Diceros bicornis minor: one gene and its partners. The protein of the gene in region 1 interacts with the protein of each later gene in a pairwise test. Links are inferred from orthologs where the notes say so. Each region holds a gene or a part of one and is shown on either strand. Other genes may lie near its edges. The genes, in order: TRIM41, CHD2 and TOP3B.

The links.
Region 2: the proteins of TRIM41 (region 1) and CHD2 interact in binary tests that used the Homo sapiens proteins (3 or more experiments, as listed by UniProt). The two-hybrid records come from large-scale screens. The link is inferred for Diceros bicornis minor from reciprocal best matches to the Homo sapiens genes TRIM41 and CHD2.
Region 3: the proteins of TRIM41 (region 1) and TOP3B interact in binary tests that used the Homo sapiens proteins (3 or more experiments, as listed by UniProt). The two-hybrid records come from large-scale screens. The link is inferred for Diceros bicornis minor from reciprocal best matches to the Homo sapiens genes TRIM41 and TOP3B.

What each region holds. Positions count from the first base shown.
Region 1 is NC_080740.1:94,208,000-94,215,907, reverse strand, and holds the start of TRIM41 (E3 ubiquitin-protein ligase TRIM41), read right to left. Parts: upstream 4,440-7,908; 5' UTR 4,429-4,439; coding exon 3,619-4,428; intron 89-3,618; coding exon 1-88.
Region 2 is NC_080744.1:87,827,113-87,835,020, reverse strand, and holds the start of CHD2 (chromodomain-helicase-DNA-binding protein 2), read left to right. Parts: upstream 1-2,974; 5' UTR 2,975-3,434; coding exon 3,435-3,541; intron 3,542-7,117; coding exon 7,118-7,349; intron 7,350-7,908. UniProt on the Homo sapiens protein: ATP-dependent chromatin-remodeling factor that specifically binds to the promoter of target genes, leading to chromatin remodeling, possibly by promoting deposition of histone H3.3.
Region 3 is NC_080774.1:30,420,471-30,428,378, forward strand, and holds the start of TOP3B (DNA topoisomerase 3-beta-1), read right to left. Parts: upstream 5,154-7,908; 5' UTR 5,033-5,153; intron 4,250-5,032; exon of another isoform or gene 4,070-4,249; intron 1,562-4,069; 5' UTR 1,447-1,561; coding exon 1,377-1,446; intron 223-1,376; coding exon 91-222; intron 1-90. UniProt on the Homo sapiens protein: Releases the supercoiling and torsional tension of DNA introduced during the DNA replication and transcription by transiently cleaving and rejoining one strand of the DNA duplex.

The DNA of each region.
Region 1 (7,908 bases):
CTGTCACCCGCCTCTCCTCCTTGGCCTTCATCTTCTGCACAGCCTCCAGGTGCTTCCTCAGTGGTTCCACATGTCCCTGCAGTTTGGCCTGAGGGAATGAAAAAAGGAAGGTTAGAGGCCTGGGCTAAGAGAAGGACTTGTCCTCAGAGCCCACCTCCCCCATCCTCCCTGCAGTGGTTTGGGGCTCAAAGCCTGATCCCCATCACAGGTATCAAATGAGCATCATACTCTCTTCTTCCCCTTTCTTCTCTTCAGATGATGACAAAGGCCTCCAACCCTCCACCTGCACTCATGTACAGAAGCCCTGGGCGTGTTCTCTAAACATAGGATCCTGCTGACTACAGAGCCCCACACTCAGAGTTGGGGTGGACCTCACTTGAGCCCCTCACCTCACAAAGTCCTTCCATATGAATATTCCTGCCTATGGTCCCTTCCCCCTCATGAGCATTCTTCCTCATAACTTCCATCTCTACTCTTTTGATGATTTTGTGCCTGTGCTAAAAATCCTTCAGTAGTTCTCCACCACTTGCAAAATATGAGGCTCTCATTGCCACTACATTTCTAGCCTCCTCTCCTACACCTACCCCTTCTACCTAGAATTTTAGTTTTAGCCACATAAAACTACTTGTCTTTTCCTGAGTATAATTTCATACCTTTATCCACGCTGTTCCTTCTGTCTGAGATAGCCCTTTTCCACTTGGCCCAAGGCATTCTTCCTTTAAAACCCAGCTACTTGACCATGGCCCTGATCCTTACCATCCCCAACTTCCTCTGTAATCCAAGGAAACATGAATACAACCTTTACAATACTTGCCAGGCACTGTAATCATTTACAAGTGTGCCTCCTCCAAGACACAGGGGCTCCTGTGGGCAGGAGCCCCACTTTACTTATTTCAATTTCTATGCTTCTCTCCGTCCATCTGCCTTCTCTCTCATTCAACTACTTGCTAAATGAAAAACAAAAACCCTCTCCTCCTAAGGTTTTAACCTTCACAGCAAATATGCACTTGAGCCGTGTGTTCCAATCATCTGTAGCAGGATCTTTTTCTTTGAAGGGCGGTTAGAGAGACCAGTAAGGGTGAGATAAGCCCGACCTATCTGCTCTTTCCCTTTTTATCTCCTCTACTACTTCTGCCCTCTCCTTCCTTTTCCTTGAGTGGTAATACAAGGCAGAAGAGCTCAAGCCTACACTCCAACCTGAACCTAAACGCAGACCTGAGGCAAGCCATGCTACCAGTTCCCTCATCTTAAGATGGGAATTGGGAATAAGAGAATCCACGTCATGGACAGTATGCTTAGCACAGTGTCTGCCATACAGCAAAAGATCAGTAAATGTCATCTAGTATTCCCTGTCTAGGCCTAGGCTGCCAATGACAGCCTGATAATGACCCTTGAACTAAAGAGGTTATTGACCCAGAGTAGAAAAGGCAGTTGTTGCACAGGATAAGCGGTTGTAGAAAAAAATTACAGTAATAATAAGATTACAATCAATCCATAATGTGAAAATAGTATAAACTACCCCAAATTTTACCTTTTGATATTACTTTCTACTTTTCTCCAGTAGTGTCAATAATTTCAACTCTATTAAGTCAGAATTCATGATGCTTAAATTTCCCACTTAATATTTTTCCTAAATTGTTGACAAAAAGTTCATAAGCACATATCCAAACAGAGTACTATTTAAGAGAAATTTTCAAAGACCTTCAACTTTTTAGGAGCTTCATTTATAGATCATTTGTGTGTTATTACCTATTCAATAAGGAAATACTTCTACAAAGTAACACTGTGCCAAGCTATTGCTAGTTAGTGTACGTATCTGAAAAGAATAAACTACCTACCTGTAAAATAGCCTATAAGTTGGAAAGGGCATCACTTGAATTAGTTCTACATAATAAAACTTACATATTTACATTTGCTGATCTGTTAATATCAGATTATTTGTGTCCATATGGCCTCCCCAAATTGCAGAGCTCTACTGGGGTGGCATTCAATAGATGTGGCTAACATAAATTAAAATCCAATTTCAGAAGCTCTTCGGAAGAATCCTGCAGAAGGAAGGTAGAGAAGAAGGAGTAGAATGCCCATGGATAGTCCACCCCAGGATCCAGTTAACAAAGTGAACATACATTGATGTTAACTAGGAACTGAGTTAACCGAGGGAATATTAAAGGGAAGGACTAAAGGAGCTCACAACCTCTCCTAATAACGCAGGGCCTAAAAGGCAGGCGATGTTACCAACGCAGTGATTCCCATGCTAGGCAGGGCTTTCTAAAGACATTCTCCTCGTCACTGATTCAGAATCCCTAGGGTACTTTTGAAATCTCCTAGTTATTGGGATAATCAGCCAGGTTTGACAGTTAGTGTGTGGAAGAAATAGTTACTTGTTATAAGGGGATGTAGGTCTGTCTTAGCTGTATCACTCACAGATCCAGACACGTTACTCTACAATTGTCATAAGACAAAAAAAGCTCTGCGCAGACCACACAGAAGCAGCTATCCTCTCCCCCTCCTGGTCCCACTGCTTCAAATCCATCTGGGCCTTCACTCAGTTCTGTCCTGGATGGCTATTTGTGCTGGCTGTCTCACAGAAAAATCTCCTTTATGTCCAAAAAGAGTCAGGATCAGAAGTAGGGGGCAAGATATTAACCAAACTAAAATCAGACTCCAAGAAGAAAAGTCACATGTCAGAAAAGTCAAACTAACAACAGACATTCAAATGGTGGTGACATTGTTAACAATATAGGCCAGGGGAGAAGGGGTCATAACCAAGTCCATCACTTACAAGTAGCTGTGTGGTCCTATGTATATATCTGTTTCCCAATCTGTAAAATGGAAACAGCATATCAAACTCACAGGGTTGTTTTGAGTTTTAAATGAGATAGTCCATGAAAAGTGCTTAGTAAGTGTTTGGTAATAATACTGGAGAAATTAAAGTTCAAAGGCATTCAGAGACTTGCCAGAGTGAATTCAGAGCCAGGTGTTCTGACTTATAAGCCTCTCCCTTTTTTCTGAATTCCCAGCGAAGAAGTTCCGGTCAGTACATCAGACTGATGCAGATCCAACAAAAATCCTCTGCGAGAACCACGCCATATCATGGGGTGGGTGGGATACCCATTAGAAGGCCTGTGTAGAGCATTTGTGTCTGACACTAGTGGTCATTTCTATGCTCCTGCTCCTCAGAGCCCTTTCTTGTTCTTTGAGGCCCCAAGTTCTTCCCATCTCCAGAGGTCTCAGTCAAAGACTTAAGACTAACCCAGAGGAAAATGAGACTGGTGGTAAAGCCCTACGGCCTGTCATCTGCACTCCTACACTTAGGGACAGTAGAAGTGTGAAACAGCAGTGGCTTTTCCCCAGGAGATGAAGCCCAGTGATATGGCATCACCAGCTTTGCCCAATTTACTTTGAGGAAGCCAGTCTTCCCTGGTCTTCTTCACTGTATGCTTTGTCTGTTTACAGGATCCTTCTCACTCTAACCCACCTTGGTGCCAGTAAGTCCTTGGATAAGAAGAATCAGTTCATCAGTACAAGAGATTCTTTGGGAGGATGACATGTTTCCTTTCCTAGCTTCTCTTACTTCCTCTCCACCCCCACTAAACTCCCTTCTTCTACTTCTCTCACCTTGTACTCCTGCACCACCTCCTCCAATGGCACCACGCTGTGCTGTTTGTGGCTCCTGGATTCTCGGCACACCACACAGATGGCCTCTTCGTCCACCTCGCAGAAGAGCTTCAGGGCTTCCTGGTGTTTGGGACAAATGCCCTGCTCGGTCCCACGGCTCCCTCGACCAGGAGTTGGGTGCATCTGTCGAATCACCTGGACCATGTTGGCCAGCTGCAGGTTGGGACGGAAGCTCCGCCTAGGAAAGCTCTTTCGGCACTGGGGGCAGGTGAAGCACCTCCGAGGGGCTGGAGGCGGGGGCAGTGGGGTGACGGGCTCTAGCTCTTCTTCCTCGTCCTCCTCCAGCACTTCCTCCTCGTCCTCCTCATCCTCCCCCCTCAGGTCCTCCTCCATGTCCCCCAAGTAGTAGTCCAGGTCTTCCTCCTCGTCCTCCTCCTCCCACACGTAGTCCATGTTATCCCAGTTGGACCCGCCCACGCCACTGGTCCAGAACACACCCTCCTCTTCCTCCTCGACCTCCTCCTCCATGTCACCCTCATACTCTTCATCCCGCATGGGGGTGTCCCACCCCCCACCGGCCCCCACAGCCTCCACTTCCTCCTCCTCCCCGTCCTCCTCCTCCTCCTCCCGGTCTAATTCGTCCCTGTCCTCTTCATCCTCCCCTCCCCACAACTGGGTTACACACACGCGGCAGAAGTTGTGCCCGCAGCCGATGGACACGGGGTCCGTGAAGTAATCGAGGCAGATGGCGCACACCGCCTCCTCCTGAAGGGTCTGCACGGGGTTGGGTGCCATGGCAACGGCAGCCATTTTAGTGTCCAGTCAGCCAGTGTAGACGGGCGGCGGGGGTCGGGGGTCTTCCCCCTCAGACGCCCTGACGACCCGGCCCCACTCCCAGCCCTGCCTCTTCACACTTTGCCTCAAGCGCAGCCAGAGAAATGTCCTCCCAACAACCCACCCCTCCACACACAGTACCCTACTCCCAGACGACAACCGTGTCCCTGCGAGAGGAGGGGAAGAACAGAGCGCCACTGCCAAGTCCCGCAAGTGGCCCTGAGTGCAAATCTGCCCTAACGCTCCCTTGGCCTCCTTATAAACCCCCGCCCCCCCCTCACTTCCTGGCCCCGCCCCCTCACTTCCGGCCTCCCTCCCAACACTTCCGGCGCCTGGGAGCCACCGCAGCTCGCGAGTTGCCTCCGCGGTTGCGCTACGCCCCCTTCTCCCTCTCTGCCCCCGCCGGGACCCTGGGCGACAGGAAACGGCGAGGAGACGCTCTAGCAGACACCCAGGAACAGGACAGGAGGGCTAGAACGATGGAGGCCCACGTCTCGGTGATGCAAGGGAGCGGGGAACGCAGGCGAAACAGAAGGACCGGCCTCCTCCATCTCCTGCCACTGGGGGCAAACTTCGGAAGGCGGTGGAAGCGCTTGGTGGCCCTCCGCTCTCGGTGCTATGACCGCATCGGCGCGGCGCCATCCTACTGACCAGACACGGAGTCGCAACAGCGACTCCCCGCAGCCCATGCCGGAAGCGGAGGGGCGGGCCCTGTGAGCTCCCTGAAGTACTTCCGGCCCTTCTAGGCGGAGGACTTTGTTGTTTGAGGACTCAGTCGTCCCTCGGAGACGGCGCAGGGGCGGGGCCTGCGACTCTTCTCCCCCCTCCTCCCCCCCGCCTCGCAGCTGTAGTCGGCGTTTCCACACCCGTTTTAGAAGCTGCGGTCCGGTCGCTGTCGCGTCCCAACTGCCCGTCAGTAAAAGACTGGTGACAGGTCGTTACCGGCACGTTCAAACGTGGAGCACTCGAGCTGTAAAATGGGAATCCTCTTAAAGATGTATTCTTAAGTGAAAAAAGCAAGGTGCTGAACGATGTGTAGAGTACACTACCATCTATGAAAAAGAGGGGAAAATGTTAAATGTATTTGATATCTTAATAGTCCTGTGTGTGCTCATGTAAAATAAGGGTAATAGTGCTTGTCCAGAGGGTTTTGTGAGATTAATGTCATGCAAAGCGACTAGAATGTTGCTTAGCACATAGTGTAATATAAGGTTTAGCGACCCTTTATCATCGTTGTCGTCTGTCTGGAAGAATCCTAGCAGCAGAGTTTCTCTGGGAAGGCTGAGGGTCCGGGGTAGGAAGGACACTTTTTCGTATATGTCGTTCTGTATCTTTTGAATTTTGAACCAAGTCAATGTATTAAAAAAGAAAACTTTTTTTCTAAATGTCATGGATTCATACAGCACTTTCTGAGCTGTGCACCACGCGCGCTCTGCACCCAAAATACCTCCAGGTCTGTCTGCATGGGGTCCCAGCCTAAGGGCAGGGACTCAAGTTGGGTTTGTGGGTTTGATTTTACTTGAGAGACTCTTATCCGGGATGTAGAACGGTATTGGGAAAGATGCCGCTGTGCTACCAAGAGCATCTCTGCGACATAGATTATTTGTGCGATAGAAATACTTGAGGCTTTTAACAAGATGACTGTTTAATTTTTTAAAAAACCGTGGGGGAAGTTACAGGACCATAACTCATGTGCGGAGCGCCCAGTGAGTGCCGGACGCCGCGCGATGCCAGAACCGGCACGCGAACTGACCTCGCTCCGGAGGGAGCCTGCGCGTGGACGCGCGCCACTAAGGGGCTGGTCTGCACGCGCCAAGCACGAGTCCTCGTGGGCGAACGGCTGTCCTAGGCCGTCCCGGGAGCTGTGGCTCTGCTGTGTGGGAGAGTGCGGCCGCAAGGCGTGACCGCGGCTCGGCCGGCCCGCGCAGCCCTGCGGTTCCCGTCCTGTGTAGAGTCCGGTGCGTGTCAGGCGGCCCGCCGCCATGCTGGTTTCCGTAGTGTAGTGGTTATCACGTTCGCTTCACACGCGAAAGGTCCCCGGTTCGAAACCGGGCGGAAACAACTTTTGCTCTCGCTTCGATTTCCGTTGTCATCTGCTCACTTCGCCTCTGGGGGAGAGGGGCTATCACCTGAAGGGAAGGACGGGTGTGTGTCCCTCTGTATCTCTGTTTCAGGGAGACGGGCAGTGGAGCAGGATCGCGGGAGAGCCGCACTCGCAGCATAGCACTGTAGATGCTTCAGTGTGAGTTCGGGGCCGCGCCTCAGCTAACCCCTTGCTTTGCCCTCGGAAGCCCCCACGGTCACCTCTCCTAGTCGAGGGGCATAGTCTTCGGATCCCCCGGCTCTAGTCTCTAGGACAGACCCAGGCATACAGTAGACGCTCCATAATACACGTGCAGTTGCTTCCCTGCACGTGGATCTTGGTCTCCTGGGACACAACACAGATGAGCGGGGAGGTGGTCAGGCTAGTTCAGCCTGTAGAACTTCAGATCCTTAATCTCAAGATCTGGGAGTTCGAGCCCCACGTTGGATGTGACCCTTTTTGGAAATGAAGATGGCGAAGACAACAAGCTCCTCTCGAGACCGAGAGCTAGTGGACCTCCGCATCCCCAGCGGTGGGCGCCCGTAGCTGAGCGGAAGACCTCGAATTGGAATGCGTTCGGCCCTAAGGCCCTCCCTGGCCGGAGGGGAGTGAGTGAGGGGCAGGCGCCGGCGGAGAAATTCCTGGGAGCCGGCTCCTCAGGCCGCCTTTTCGCTTGCTGAAATCCGCCTACCCACGTTCAACACGTATTAGGCGCCTTCTGTTTACCAAACGACAGGGTGTCCGGGGCGACACCTGGGCCGCCCGATTCGCGACCGCCTTACTCTGTGATTTAGAGGTTAGATTCCGCGCTCTCACCGCCGCCGCCCGGTTTCGATTTCCGGTCAAGAAAGAGGTGCCCTGGTAATCTGAGATCCTCGTCTTCAGTATATTCTATTTCTCAGTTTTAAGAGTCGATCTTTTTGTAAAATGTTGCCCCACGCAATCCGGCCTCCACTTTTCCCCCCACACATAAAGGAATGTAAAAATGTCCTTTATTTTGGAACACGCTAACATGAACATCCTCAGTTTACCCGTCTTGTCAAGAAATTCTTCCTGAACTTCAACTGAAATTCATTCCTTCCTGTTAACTGTTTCCTTAGTCCCGCAAATTCAGCCCGTTTTCTGTTTCTCATCTGTAGAAGTCTCCTCCACATACACAGCAGACCACAAGAGAAGTCTGTTGATCATATAAAGCTGGTTTATTTCCCTTGCTAAGCGAACGATACAAAGCCGATACAAAGCCTCAGTCTCGGAAGTGTATCGAAGCGGGGAGTTAGGGAGGGTTTACATGACACTGTGTGAAGGCAGTCTGGACGGGAATTGGTCAGAAAATGTCAAACAGCCAGAGTTGCTAGTAGTCCAGCCCCGCTCTG
Region 2 (7,908 bases), on another chromosome or scaffold:
TTATAGGGAGAGCTTTTCCCCTTGTACCTGCGTTTTACTGCTTAGTGGGTTAGAAAGTCTTTCATGTTCTTACCTGCATGGAAAGCTTACCCTGTCCTTTGTGTAGCCCTTAGTATATTGCCAAATCTTGACTGGGTAAGTATTTGTGAAATGGGTATCCAGTTTGTATCTTTATCCAGGCTTGTTGCTGTAATTCATTTTTCCCTATTGATAGGTATGCCTGGGTGCCGTTTGTTTGATGCTTCCTAAGCTGTTTAGGACTACTCAAATATTTATTGGTTATTAGGGAGCAGAAGGAGCATGAAAAAGGTAAGGTGACTTCTGCCTGGCACTGGCTGGGAATTTTAGAAACATGCTTATTAAAGGTAGATTTTTTTTTCCCTCTTTACTACTGGATTTCTTAATCTGGGAGGTACTGATGGAACTTGGCCTTTTACCCCCCGAAATTGCAAGCAGCATTTTTGTGTGCTTTTTTTCTTATACATGTGCCTTTTTCTGGAAAGAGGATCCATAGTGTTACCAGTGTTAGAGTAATTTACAGAAGAACTGTCAAATACCAGAACTGTCAAATACCAGGAAGGTCTACTCCTGAATACACTGATCAATTCTGCAATGTTAGAAGTACAGCCATTTTTTGAAAAATTCAGAAAAATTCAAAGAATACAATTAAAGTTTTAAATAAGATATGGTTAAAATCCTGTTTACGCCTTCTCCTTGTCACTTTCATGAAATTGGCATATAAAAACATTGGCATTTTGAAAACGTGTATGGTTCACGTAATGTGTTTTGTTTTAAAAATATAGTTTTGAAATTGTCATGTTGATATTTATAGATCTAATTCGTCCCTATTCTAACTATTGTAGTTAATTGCATAGTATGACTATTCACATTTTATTTTTAGATTTTCATACATGCACATTTAGATTATTTCCTTTTTTTGATCTTATGAGCAGGGCTCTAAACATTTTTATACTTCCCACCTCCTCACGAATTTGATAATTTGTTTAGGTTATACACCCACAGATTGGATTGCATGATTCGTATGCATATTTTGAGGTTTACTGGATAATGCCAAGTTGCTTTCCAAAGCCTCTACTGATTACTTTTTCAGTAATGGTATATGAGTACTATTTTCCCCACTTTCTCGCCATCATTTAGTATTATCAGACTTTTTAATTTCTGCAGAGCAGATGAGTGTAAAATAATCTGTTGTTTAATATACACTTCCCAAATTACCGTAGAGGTTTAATTACCTTTTCATAAGTTTATTGGCCATTTCAGTTTCTTTTCTGTAGTTGCATGTCCATTTCTTTGGCCCGGTTTTCTATTTGATTTTTCTTTGATACGTAATTCTTCATGTGTTGTATGTATAATTCTTTTGTTGTGTGTACATTGAAATTTCTTTTCTCAGTCTGTTACTTGTCTTTTACCCTTGTTTATAGTGAAGCTTATTCTTTAGAATCATAGGACTTGAACCAGAGGTGGAGAGGGTCTTAAAGATGCAGTTACATTTATTTAAGGAACTAGATCCAGTATTCTGTATCAATAGGAAACTCATGACTTAATGATCTTTGCCTTTCTGTCCTCTTAAGACACACATAAGGGATTGAAAAGGAATTGTTCTGCATCAGCCCTGGGTGGTTTGATAATCTGTTTAACTGAAGAATGTATGTATGATGGGGACAGCAATACCACTCAGGTTAATAGTGTGGATCCCATAATTCAGACTGTGGGGGTGGGGGATGACATCATATACACACTCTTGGGTTAAGCCCCTTCTGTAAAATGAGGATAATTTGTCTTATAGGGTTGTCGTAGGAGAGGAGAATTTCTGCATATACCTGCTATATAAGTACTCCATAAATATTAGCTCATTGATAGAGCTTAGTCTGGAAATAAGTTTTATGGAATTCCAGTGTAGATTGCTTTGCATTTTTACCAGATTTTGCTTTCACCACCACCACCACCAACAAAAAAACATGCTCTGCCAAGCAGTGCTGCCATTTTGTAAGTTTAGGAAGATCACCACCACCCAAGTGCTGAAATGGCAGCTATTGGGCAGAGAACCCACAGGCTTGCTCTTTTAAGAGAAGTGTTGCTGTGCCGCCCTCTTGTGGCCACTTGGAAAACGGCAATTAAAAATTAAAAAGGGAGAAGTAGTTGTTAATCCTGCTTGCTTTGAAAGTCCACTTGTAAAGAATTCTTAATCACTTCATTTTTGCCTACTTCAAAAAGGATTTTGAAGATATACCAAATCCTTATCCACAACTGAAAAGAAGTGTTAAACTTTTTTTATAAGCATTTATTTTCTTTTGGAATATAAAAATCTCAGTTTTGACTTGAGTCCTTTTTATTTTTGCATTGTATTTCCCTTGTAGTGATTGCAACTTAGATTTTGAGTAATTTTCAGATAAATTTCTTTTTCATGAGGATTCTACATGGTAGATAATGATTGCTGAATATTCCATTTTTAATTGCCTTATAATTATTATGCCATTGGAAATCAGGTAATTTTATTACTTTTTGGTTATGCGAAAGCTTAGTTAAAAGACTCCTCATTTGCTAACTCTATTTGACGGTTTTTGTTAGAGTCTTGTGGATTTTCCACATTGTCTTCTCTAGGTCACCATTGCAAACTACAATTTAGTTTAAATAGTATTTAGTATTATAATTAGGCATTAATAGCAAATTTGCATAATATTTCAGGAAATATTCTATCCTTTGAGAGAATAATTAGACTATCAGTGCCTTAAATATGGAGGTATTTATCGTTTTTTTTTTTTTAATATTCCTTTTCCATTTCAATATTTAGGAACTTGTCCTCCTAGGAGAAGTATGCAAATTAATTGTTATGCCTTTATTAAGAATCTTTTTAAAAAACCGTTTTCCTCTGAATATTATTTTAAGTCTATTAAATTTAACTTACTGGTTCGAAAAATAAACACCTATGAAATAACACCTATAAAAAAGAAACACCTATAAAAAAATAATTAAAACCTAGTCCTACTCTCATTCAAATCTTTAGCTCGTTTTGTGGAGGATTGGGTGTACTTACATCCCTTGCCTTGGATTTGACTCTTTTGGTTGGATTTATTAGCTATTTTAAACATTAAAAAGATTAATACTTACATAATGAACACCGATGAACTCACCACTCAGCTTCAGTCATAAAATATCACCAATATCATTCTCTGATCACATCTGCCTCCCTCATTGCTGAAAATTCCCCCAGAGGTAAATACAGTTGTGAATGTGGTGTTTGTTTTTTCCTGGGTTCGATTTTCATAGTAAGTTGTGTTTTTTTTTTGGAATTACACAAGTAGTTCATGAGATCCACTAGTATACTTCAAATAACCCATCCAAGAGAATAAACCCCTGTTAGCAATTTAGTGATTAAAATGTGTTTATGCACATAGATATGTGCTGATAGAAATATGGCTGTTTTTTACCTAAAATGTACTGTATGTGTTGTTACATGTCTAGAGGTCGCTCTCCTACACCAACTGGGAAATACAGAGCTGCACAAGAAGACATGTAAAAGGTTATTTATAATTTTATTGGTTTACGGTGAACAATTTGGAAATCTAAATATTCTACTCAGAAATAGAGAAATATGGAAGTGTATCAAGGATATTTGTAGCTTATTGGTTAAGTGAATAACTTGAAAATAACCTAAAAGTCTCATTAATAGGGGACAGACTAAATAAAATGTAGCATATCATACTATGAGGCAGTTCGAAGGGAGTGAAATGTTTAGACATTTACATGTACTCTGACATGGGTATTGGCATTGGACATTTCCATTATATCGGCAATGATTACTGCTTTTCAGCACAAAACACTATAAGGATTTCTAGCTAACCAAACTGTTGTAGTTAACTTGAGCAGACCAACTCTGCTTTTTTTGTGGCTTTCTGGTTCTTTAAGTTTGTAGTTGAAGATTTTCTATCTTGTTGGAATGTTTTATGTTTCGTGGCAACCATACTGTGGTCCTGTGACAATTTTAGTTGGTGGTGATTGCAAAAATGTGATTCTAAACTTCATCTCTTGTCTGGAGTTAAGCATTATAGTAGTTAAAAAACTAAACCATTCATTTCAAAAGGATTTCGAAAAGATTGCATATTCTAGCAAAGTCACTTAAGTCCCCCTGTCCATTCTTTTCTTTAGTATACCAGGCATGGGGAACATCAAAGACTACGACTTAGCTCTCAAGTCTTTTGGGGAGGTGAACAAATTACTTGTATAAAATGGAACAAATGGGAGGCAAAGTAGTGTAGATGTTAACAGCTGGGGCTCTGGCGTCGGTCTTCTAGGCCAGGATGTGTGTCATTGCTAAAAGTGAGGAGAGTCAGCGGAGTATGGTGGTTGCAGCTCAGACTCTGAAATGAGGCTGCCTATTTTCAATTTCCAGTGGTAGTAACTGCTATGACAGAGATGCTATAATGGAGTATTATGGAAGTACCTCATAGGCACAAAGTTTAGGATTGGAAAGTGCAAAGGATGTTTTCCTAGAGAAGGTAATACCTGAGGCCTCAAGAATTAGAGAGGTATTTAGCTTTAGGTGGAAGCAGAGGTTGGAGATGAGCAATACTAGGGCTTACTTTCTGCTCTACAAGTAGTTCAGAATGGCTGGAGCAGTGAGAGTAAGGAGAAGGAATGGTTAAGAGATGAGTCTTGAGAAATTGGCAGAGGCCAGGTTTCACGGGGCATGCTGAGATTGGATGTTACCAGTGCCCATGCCCAGGGTGGCTGGAGGATGTGGGCAGCACTAGCTCCCTAATCTTTCAGGCTTCTCCAAGTACTTAGCTGCTTCCGCTATATAAATGTAGCTTCCGGGTATATCCCTAACACCTTTCAAGTAGACTGCCCTTTCTAAATTCCTTACTTATAAGGAAATTCTGGTGCTGCCTCTACGTTTCTGTCAGTGAGCAAATGGTGGAGGCAAAACAAACAAATTGCAACTAGCGCCATGGATTGTGTGGTACTGTCTCACCAATGCGTGCCAGCTGGGAAGGACTTTATGTTAGAAGGGGAATCTGAGCTTGAATGTGAAATTCTGAAATTTCTAATGTTTGGGTAAGGCTTTGGCATTTGTAGAGTGCTGCTTTCATTTATCGTTTGATGCTCTCATGACCCTACAGGTACAGTCACAGAGGATGGCACAGGTTAAGAGATGGCACAGGCCTGAGATGATCTAGGACTGAGATCCAAGCCGTGGATACCAGAGCCTGCACTTTTTAACTGTACTATCCAGCCTTCCTCTTTCTTATCTCTTGCCTGGTGACCACCTTCTGATTGGTCATAGGTGGAGAATAAATGACTTAAGATGCCTTAGTCACCTGGACTAGTCCACTTTAACTGTGCAAAGGGCCAAGGAGTGAGGAAGTATAAGGAGGGCCTGAAAGTGTTGAGCCACAGTTAAGGATGTCTGACTGGTTTTGGACATTGTCTATCAGGAGTAACATTTATTTTTTGAATCTCTTAAGATTTTGAACCCCTGTGGTAAAATAGAAAGAGTACGGGCTTTAGAGCCAGGCTTGGGGTGGAATCCCTGCCCTAACCCCCAAACCCCCTTTCTAGTTTTGTCATTGACTAAGTTACTTAAAACAGCTGTTTTTTCATTCTGCTCATGGTGATGATAATGCCTAATGGTGTTGTCATGGGGAATAGGCAAAATAATACATATAAAGTACTTAATGCAGTGCTGGGTACCTATTCGATGATCAGGCAATTAATAAATGGTTTTTCTCTTCTCTGCCCCCTCCCCCCCCATCATTCTCACTGCTTCCTCATCTTAACTGAAAGGCCCCTGAACTGTAATGTGCTTACTTACTATGGATCACATGGGACTTTTGGGTCGATGCCAGTTTCCAGTGTACTGCCAGGTTGGTTCTGTGGGCGTGTTTGTCAAGTGATATGACCTCATTCCTAGCTTGGAAGATAACAGTGGTGGTAAATATGAAGCCTCCCTTCTTGACCCTTTCTGGCTTCATGCCATGTCTCTTTCGTTTCCTGGTTGCTAAACTCAAGGACTTTTCTGTTAAGTTAATGTTCCTCTGGGTTGCAGGTTGCCACTTGCCTCCCTTTCTCTGCTCTGCCGCTCCTAAATGAAAAGGTAGTTTTTAAGCGAAAGAGTTGAGTGAGCTGTCCACGTCTTTTCCTGTAGCATCCATCAATTTGAAGTCTTTTCTCTTTCAAGTATCTTCACTCCTACCAGCATGCCCCTGAATTGCTTTTTCACTACTGAGAACAGGGGGGGTGTATTCCCTTCTCAGCTCCCAAGGTTGATATTTTATCTTCCCACAGCTTTCAGTTGTTTCAGCTTTCATTGCCTACTTAGGTTGCTCTTTCCTGAGGGGTGTTCGGAATGAGAAAGGGCGGGGATGCAGTTTTTATTGGATTAGTCATTCACAGTCAAATCAGAGTGCTGTTTTTGTTTATTTTGTTCTCTTAAGTCTACTAGTTGTAGCACTCACTGCAGGAGATTCCAAGGCAGGACCTCTGGTTTGGGGTTAATGTGTATATGTTTTTATGTAGCTCTCCAGATGAGCCTAATTTGCACCTGTTGTTGAGAACCACTGATTGGATAATTGCAACCAGATTGCATTCTTACCCTTTGGGTAACTCTGCCCTGGTTTGGTTTTGTTCTGTGTTGGTTTTTTCTTTCCCCTTTTGATTTTGTTTTTGTCTTGAGGAGGGAGGGACTGATACTGAACAAGTAAGACTTAGTGGATGCAGACAGATCGGCTTGGTTTCAAATCCTACCTGTGTCATCTTTGGAGAGTTACTTAACTCCTTCCAAGCTTCAGTTTTTCCTCATCTGAATGAAGGAGAAAATAATATCCCCCTTCCTAGTTTTTGTAAAGGAGCTAATCTATATAAATTAGCTGGTAAATGGCATCATGTAAGCACTCAGGAAATGGTAGCTATTAGGGATGTTGAGAATGATAGTAATGACATTATTTGTAATATAAGAACATAAAAGTGAATTTGAAAATATTGATCCTGTATTACCCAAATTACTATCTACTGTCATTTTACTGCTAGGATTTTTTTTTTACAGATTCATGTGGCAGTTTTTAAATCTTTTTTTTTTTTTTTTTTTTTTTTAATTAAGTCATTCAGCATCTGAAGAAGCTTCGGGTTCAGACTCAGGCAGCCAGTCAGAGAGTGAGCAGGGCAGCGATCCAGGAAGTGGACATGGCAGCGAGTCGAACAGCAGTTCTGAATCTTCAGAGAGTCAGTCGGAATCTGAAAGTGAATCGGCAGGTTCTAAATCTCAGCCAGTCCTTCCAGAAGCCAAAGAGAAGCCAGCCTCTAAGAAGGAACGGATAGCTGATGTGAAGAAGGTATCTGCTTTGCTGTACAGTGCAAATGTACTGCCAGCGAGGACCAGCTAGCAGACCTTTATTTCCCATGGAAATCTCATTAGTATATCTTGATAATGAAAACTACAGCCACCTCTTCTGATAATGGACTGTGTATGGATGTAAATGCAGACTGCTCTCTGCTTTACCAATTGATATAGTGGATACAGGGCTATAAGGAAAACCATTACATGAACCATCAAATTATAGGACAGAAAAACAAATTTTTTATAGTTTTGGTTTTTAACTTTTAAAAAAGGCAGTCAAAATTATTTTTTTGTACAATACTGAATAATACCGGAGGGAATCATTGACAGATGATTGTTGAATGCAATTGTAAAGTTTAGCGATGGATAATTGTAATCCAAGAATAAGGGCAGTTTTTGTTACCTGAATAATGGAAGAGAAATACTTCCCACAGAAAAAATATGATCTGTACCTAGGCAGTGTAGGTATTCTTTGTTTAACAGAGAAGAGTCTTCCAGCAAAGAATGCAAAAAGGCAAAAATTGAGTTGCATAGCGTTTTCTCATTGATGCCCT
Region 3 (7,908 bases), on another chromosome or scaffold:
CAAAATTCTCTCCAACTGGAGCCTGGGCAGCACCGTGCAGGGCTTCCCTCAGTGGAATGGAGGGCAGGCAGGGAGACTGAGGGGGCTCACCCAGGAAATCCAGGGTCATCACATGACCACAGACAGATGTCATCTTGAAGTGGACTGGCTGGCCCGCGAAGGTCCCGGTGTACTCGTGCACCGAGCATGTTCCGTTCAGCCCTTTGTGTGAGGACATACTCCCTGGGGAGGAGAAACGTGGTGATGGCTGCTCCAGTGAGCTGTGGCCGCTGCAGAGGCCCCAGGCCCTGATGCTGCCTCTCGGAGGGCCAGAAACCCTTTACTCAGAGCGCTAAGTGATAACACTCCTCAGGCCACTGCGGGTAGTTAGGTGCTGTGAGATCTAATGGTTCTCCAGGAAAACACCATCCCAGCTGGGTTGGCTATAGTAGCCAACCCAGCACAGTAGGCTCTGGGTCGGCGAGGGGCCAGGAGCGCCCCCTCTGAACACTCTTGGGTTCTTTCTCTGCACTTCTGCCTCACTTCTTTCAAACTGTACTCACAGGTCCCCAGGGACCGCCTAATTATTGAATCCCATGGTGTCTTCTCATGCTCCCGACCGACGGCCCCTTAGAAAGAGCCCAACTTTCTCAGCCTCTGGGCCTGGGCACATCTCAGTTCTTCTCTCCCCTTCGGAGAGACCCTAGCCTGCTGTCCTAGGGTCTCTTCCTCCCTCAGCCACGGGACCAAGGGGAGGTCAAGGCAGATGTCTGCCATTTCTGGGTACCCAGCATGCAAACACCTTCCTATTTGGAGGGAATTCAGAGATAGGAGGGGAAGCAGCACCCCACCACCCACCCCAGTGGACAGAATGGGGGTGCAGGCAGACGATCCCTTTCCCAGTGCCTTGGTGTCTCGGGCTGCTCTCAAGGGACACAAGGTGCGTGGGCTGCAATTGCCACTGTCAAGGGTCCAGGGCAGTGGCAAGGGTCCTGTGGTGACGATGCCATGGCCTTGTCAGACTTAGACTGGGGTGGTGTCCCGGCTGTGTCTTCTTCCTTCTAGTGAATTCCCTTTCTAAGTTACCAAGGCTGGTTTCTGCTGCTTGTGACCAACAACCCTGACCAGACAGTGCTCTGACCAGTGGCCATCGGCGCCTGCCTGCCCCTATGCTGTGAACTGTGCCTGCCCCAGGCCTGGCTCATGCTGGCTATGGCAGTAAATGCACCCACAGTGACTAACACCAAGGTGCTTCAGTAACGCCTGCTGTCCTGAATGGAATCTACTCCAGCGGGCTGAAGTCACACTTCGGAGAAAGAAAGAAATGATGTGTAAAGTAGAAACAACGAGGCTTACAGATCAAAGCCATACAGAACGCTGGGGTTGGTCTTCCCTACCTCGAGAGAGGATTTTGGCAATGGACTGGGCCAAGGACGGCTTTTCTGCAACCATGAGCACAGTCTTCATCCTGTCTTAAAGCTGGCAGGACCCTTGGCCTCCACACTCCAGTTTCAGGGAAATGGCGATGAAGAAGTTCAGAAACTGCTCTCCTGCAGCTCAATACCACTGTCAACACTGACCCCTAAAGAGAAGAAAACACACACAGAAAATAGCAATGCTTCCAGTGGAACTTATACCACTAACAAGGAAACTCACTTTAAAAAGTGAAAAAATAATCCTGAGGCAAGAAAAAAAAAAATTAGGGAACTTTGGAGACATCTAACATACAAACAACTGGTCAGGTCAACTGAACTGGCTCAGAGATGACCCTGGGAATTTGGCTTCATTTGGGAAAAGCTGAGGTGGCCCCATGACCTCAGGTCAATTTTGTTCCCAAATCCATGCTAGGAAGACGTTGGGCCTTTAGACCCGGACCAAGGGGCTGGGGTAGGGTGAATGCCCTGCCCTCCTCTGTGCAGTACTTCTGTTTACTCCCTGGGGCGGAGAGCGGCACCTCCACCTCACCTAAGCATCAGGGTGCTCTGGGATGCTGTTCTAAATGGAGATGCCCAGGTCAGGCTCCCAGGTCCTTCTGACCCACCACTGGGCCTGAGACCCACTGGCCAGGGGATCTGGTCCCCAGCAGAGCTTTCAAGGCCCTTCACAGGCTCTAGTTCATCTTCCCGCCCGCCCCACTCCACCTCTCACTTTGCAAGCCATGCTCTGGCCAATTAAATTGGACAGCAGCGTCTAAAGAAAAAACACATTTTCAAGCCTCTGTTCCCTTTGCTTGGAATGTTTTGCCAAGCCTGGAGAATGCAGATCAACTGTCCGAAGGCCCAGCTCAAGTGCTAACTCTTCTTCAAAGAGCTCTCTCTACACCCGCCGGCGGGATGAATCCTTTCCTCCTGGCCGTTCCTTACAACCCTCTGCCCATCATGCCACGGTTGGTCACTGCCTCTTCTTCCTGCTGCACACGAGTGGCCTGATGTCTGAATCACTGTTGGCAATTCAACAGCTGGTTTCGAGCTTGACAGAGGACATTTAATACCCGCTGGCTGAGTGAAAGAAACATATGAACCCTTTCTGTCTTTCTGATTGTTGTAAGTATGGCACCGACATTGACAAACATAGCACTGTATAAGAAAAAGACTTGTATTGAGACAACCGGGCAACCTTATGGTAAGAAAAACAAAGTCAGACACCTATTTTATAACTTCCACCAAAACAGATTCCAATTTCTAGCAAAGATTTAAATAAAAAAATGAAACTAGAAAATATGAACTTTAGTATGAAAAAGACAAACACCTAAGTCCCTCAACATTCAGAGGCACACTTCACGTTTAAAAGCATTTGGCTTCCTTTTCTGTGAACTGTCTATTCATATTTTTACCCATTTTTGTCAACTTGATGGTTGTTATCTTATTTTTGGAGTGGTTTATATAATAAGGAAATTAGCCCTCTGTAATAGGAAATAATTCCAACAATACTCATCAAAGCAAGCTAGAGCTCGAGCGGTCTTGAGTTTCTCTCCCCAGCAAAGACCCATGTCTAGCACACGTGCGAATGACGGTGTAGGGACAGGGAACTCAAACGTGGGTGCCGCAAGTTCACCCAGAGCAAGCTCTACAGGCGCCACCGGGCAATACCTCACATCCCCGCACTCCCACTTCCAAGAAGGAGCTCAACAGATTCTTGTCTCAAGATCCCTTTCCAGAGAAACATTTTGCCCTAGCATCTTCAAAGGGATTACCTCATTTATCTAGGACTAGGGATACAACTGGACAGTGCACACAAAAGCACGTCAGCATCATGCCCAGCTTCAGATCACCTGTCCACTGCCAGGCTGTGCAGCGGCTAGTCCACATTTGATATGTGGCAAAACACACCTTCTAGTTCAACAGTTTATACTTCAGTTCTGCATGAGTACTTTGTAATTTCTAAGTATCACTGTTTTATTAGGAAAATAAATACCACTTCCTTTAAGGATACAGAATCAGGGAGTCCTGGGAAAGGGATCTTGGTGATGATCCGGTACAACCATCTCAAGGAAGAACAAACTAAGACTCAGAGAAAGGGATTTTCCAAAGGTAACCTAGGAAGTTTGCTGAGTTGGGGCTGAAACTCATGCTTCCTTACGTCCAGCCAGGCACACTGTTTTTAACTGCACCAGGTTCTACTTCTTAAAAGATTTCTGCAGTCGTAACTGTGATTAATCTTGAGGCCTCCCTATTTTTCCATTAAGGCACATCTGCAATTTCAAAATGGAAGCCAATGAGCAGGAAAGCTGAAAGCAATGGTGTGAGAACATTTATACACCATCTTACTGCTTTGCCTTACCAACATTATTATTTACTTCCGTTTTTGCTTTTTAAAAAAGCTTAAATATATAGAAAAGGGAAATTTTATAGCCTCATAGGAACTGAAAGCCTGTAATCAATGGCCAGAACTCGGTTCCTTCCGGTAACCCACATGACACATCAAGTTTGATCTTGCTGCCTGCCAAAGTGCTGAGCCTGACATCTGTCCTCTTACTTCAAAAAGGGAGATTAGCAAGTGCTAAGGGGATGTTGACAGCAAACACCCTAAATTGGGACTGTAATTAGGAGGGCTGAAAGTGAAAGGGAGCAGCAGGTAAGCCTGTTATTACCCTGTCAACTCTCACCAGCAAAACCACAACGGTAGGAGTCCTTCTGGGAGCCACTGCAGATCAAGTCCTTTCAAGTCAGCCCTCATGAACATGTGGACTCAGCTCCGGAGTGCAGGCCTGGCAGTGGGCCGACAGAAGTTACAGCCCTAGGATTTCCCACCTCAGAACTTGACCAGACACCTATGGAGTCAGGAAAAGAGGGGAAGAAACCACACCTTCTTAATTAAGGTCGTCTGTAGCGCTATAGCTCTAAACGCTACTCTACTGAATCCTGCCAACAAGCCCACAGGGCTGGCGGTGTCCTCATTTCTTCAACTAGGAGTAAACTGAGGTTTAGAACAATTCAGACTAGTGTCAGGTGACCTCTGCCAAGTCTCTAGGGACCCCCCCGGGGCTCACGGGCCATCAAGCCCTGGTTGGGCTGAATTTTCACCTCCTGTTCCCAACGGCTGAGCGACAAATAGGCAGGACGAGGCCATCATCTTTCTTTTCACCTCTGAGAAATGACTGCCCCTGGATTCTCGCTCGTCTGTTCACAAAAGTACCCTCTCACCCACATCAACAACTCAGAGAAACACGCCCGGGCGCCCTCGAGGCCGAGCCAGGGCTCCGGGGCGGCGTGGACCCTGCCTTGACCTGCGTGGACCGACCGCCTCCCTGAGCCTCAGTTTCCCCACCCGTGACAACAAATCCGGGCAACAGACCCCTCTCAATAACTGCGGGAGGTTCGATGAAGAAAAGTATTAACTGCAGCGCCTGCTCCCTCCAGGTGCCGGCCCATCGCCACCTCCTTGAACCCCCAAACCAGTCCCGGGGTTCGGGGGGGTCCACCCCGCCGGGGAAGAGGCGAGAATGCAAAGAGCCCGGCCCAGGACCCTCGCCCAAGCCGCGGGGCTGGCGGCCCCCGGTGCGTGGAAAACGCCCGCGCTCCCCACATCCCTGAGCCCGCCGCCCGCCGCTCACCCGCAGCCCCACCCCGGCTCCGGCTTCAGCTCCGCTCGCGGCGGCCGCCGGCAACTCTACTTCCGGGTCGGGCCGCTGCTGGCGTCCCCGCGTTTCCCCGCCGGTGCCCGCACACCTGCGTCCGCGGGTTCCGTGGCTGTCGCGTTCCGGGAGCACGCCCCGAGTTGGCCCTTGCCCACCGCATCTGCCGAGATCCCTAATCCCTCCACCCCATTCTTCCCCGCCCCGGAGGCAATAATGACAATCATCATTACAATGATGATGAAAACTAGATGATAAGCATGGAAACGTGTATGCTGTTAATAATTAAAATAATTAAAAACTACAGATGTGTGTATATTACTACTCAGCCGTAAAAAAGATGAAATCGTGCCATTTGCGACAACACGGTTGGACCTTGAGGGCATTATGCTAAGTGAAATAAGTCAGATGGAGAAAGCCAAATATGCATGATTTCCCTCCTATGTGGAAGATAAAACAACAACAACCACCACCACAACAGACAAACGCATAAACAGAGAGCAGACTGGTGGTTACAGGTGTGTGTGTGTGTGTGTGTGTGTGTGTGTGTCAAGGGGCACACACGTATGGTGACGCATGGAAACTAGACTTTTGGTGATGAACACGATGTAGTCCATACAGAAGTCGCAATATAATGTACCCCTGAAATTTATATAATGTTATAAACCAATGTTACCACAATAAAAAACCGAAAAACAAACCACAGATGTTTGTAGAGCAGGCTTCTTTCAATGCTACAAACATTTGTGGATGAATAAATAAACTGTAAAATATATCTGGAAGATGAATTGGAAAATAAAAGTAATCTTTTTTGTGTTAGAGCATTAAGATTATGGAAAGTTAAAAATAATTTTCATGACCTGATTTTAATATCTTTTAAATAACAGCGTACAAACGTTTCCTTTGCTCCCTGTAGATGCTGTTCCCAACTTGTCTTTATTGGAATACTAGCCCTGACAGATGTCTGGAAAAAGAAAAGTTCTATGGTCAAATTAAGGTTGGGAAATGCAGAAAATTAAGTTACAGTGAGATTTCCCTTTCAAAGCAGAACTCCTGATTCCCAGCCCACTCCTTGGCAGGTTCTCCATTGCTAAGACGGCAACTTCACCTTCCTGGCTGCTCAGGCCCAATGCCTTGAAGGCTTCCAGGATTCCTCTCTTTCTCTCACTTGGTATCCATCACTGTCTTCAAATCATATTTGAGATCCAATCAATCCTTCTGGCCTCAGCTGCCACCACACTGACCCAAGTCCCATCTCCCTCCTGGTCCCACCCTGAGCCCTACAGGCTGCTCTCCACACAGGCCCCGGCGGACAGCAGCCAGGACTAAGGTTGGATCTGAAGAGTATGTCCAGTTGGCAGAGAGGCAAGACCAGAGCCCCACTGCTTGTTTAATCCAGCTCTGGGGTTCATTCCACAGAGTAGGAAGGAGGACCTGAGGCCTGGGCCTGGCAGGGGAGCTGAATGGTCAGCTCTGGAAGCCTGCTTGTCTGAGTATTCTCCGCGGAGCTGGGAAACTGCAGCTGCTTGTGCTCCCCTGCTGCCTGGAGAGCCCCTTGGGGAGTCCTCCCCACAGACCTCCCAGGGAGCTGTGGGGCAGGCCATTCCGGGGACACTTATGTTGACAAATGACCCAGATTCAGAGGAACGCTTTGACTTCCTCACCGTTGGGAGGAACCCCTACACTCTCCTCACTTATGCACAGGCGCCTAGTTGTGGTGGATGGGACACCTGAGAGCTCCTGGGTCTCTTCTCTCTGGTGGGGCATAGGCTGGGCCATGGTCTTGCTAACACTGTAAATAGTTAACACCCACCCAGCGCTTACTCTGTTCTAGGCACTTTTCTATTATGAATACATTTAATTCTCATGACACTAGGAATTAGGTATTATTGTTATTATCCTTATTTTACACATAAGGAAACAGGTCACACAGATGTAAATGGCAGCGCCAGGTTTCACGACTAGGCAGCCAGGTTCCAGAAGTCAAGTTCTCACCCACTTGCCACAGGGCTTCTCACTCCTTCTCGTTCTCTATCTTTCCAGACTCCAGGGCCCAGTCTGTGCTGACTCAGCTGGCCTCTGTGCTGGGGTTCCCCGGGAGACATGGTCACAGTACGCTACACAGGAAGCAGCAGCAACATCAGGGGATATGCCCCAAACTGGTACCAGCATGTGCCAGGTCCCCAAAGTCTTCATCTACAAGAACAACAATCGGCCCTTAGGGATCTCAACTTGGTTCTTTGGCTGCAAGTTGGGCAACACAGCCTTCCCAACCATCGCCGGACTCCAGGTGGAAGACAAGGCTAGTTATTACTGTCACTCCTATGACACCACAGGTGAGCCTGCATGGTTCTGAGCTCCAGACCCCAGGGGGAGTGAGACTCAAACCTCCCGACTCCTGTAGCACACTGATGACATTGTCTGCTGGGTAAATTTTATTCTTCCCCCCCCCCCAAAGCCCCACTAGATAGTTGTATATCATAGCTGCACATCCTTCTAGTTGCTGTATGTGGGACGCGGCCTCAGCACGGCCGGAGAAGCGGTACATCGGTGCGCGCCCGGGATCCGAACCTGGGCCACCAGCAGCGGAGCACACGCACTTAACCACTAAGCCACGGGGCCGGCCGGTAAATTTTATTCTTTTTTCTCACTATGATGTTTTGTAAATCAATTCAGGCATTTTTGTGTTTCTTGTACTTACTTCTAATTTACGTCAGCTCCTTGTGCATCTCTGCCTTTGTGGCTGACTATGGTATGCTCCTTATACTTGGAAGTGAGTTTGGCTGGACCTAAAATCCTTGGCTCACATTTTCTTTCCTTGAGTATCTTAAATATGTCACTCCAATTTCTTCTGG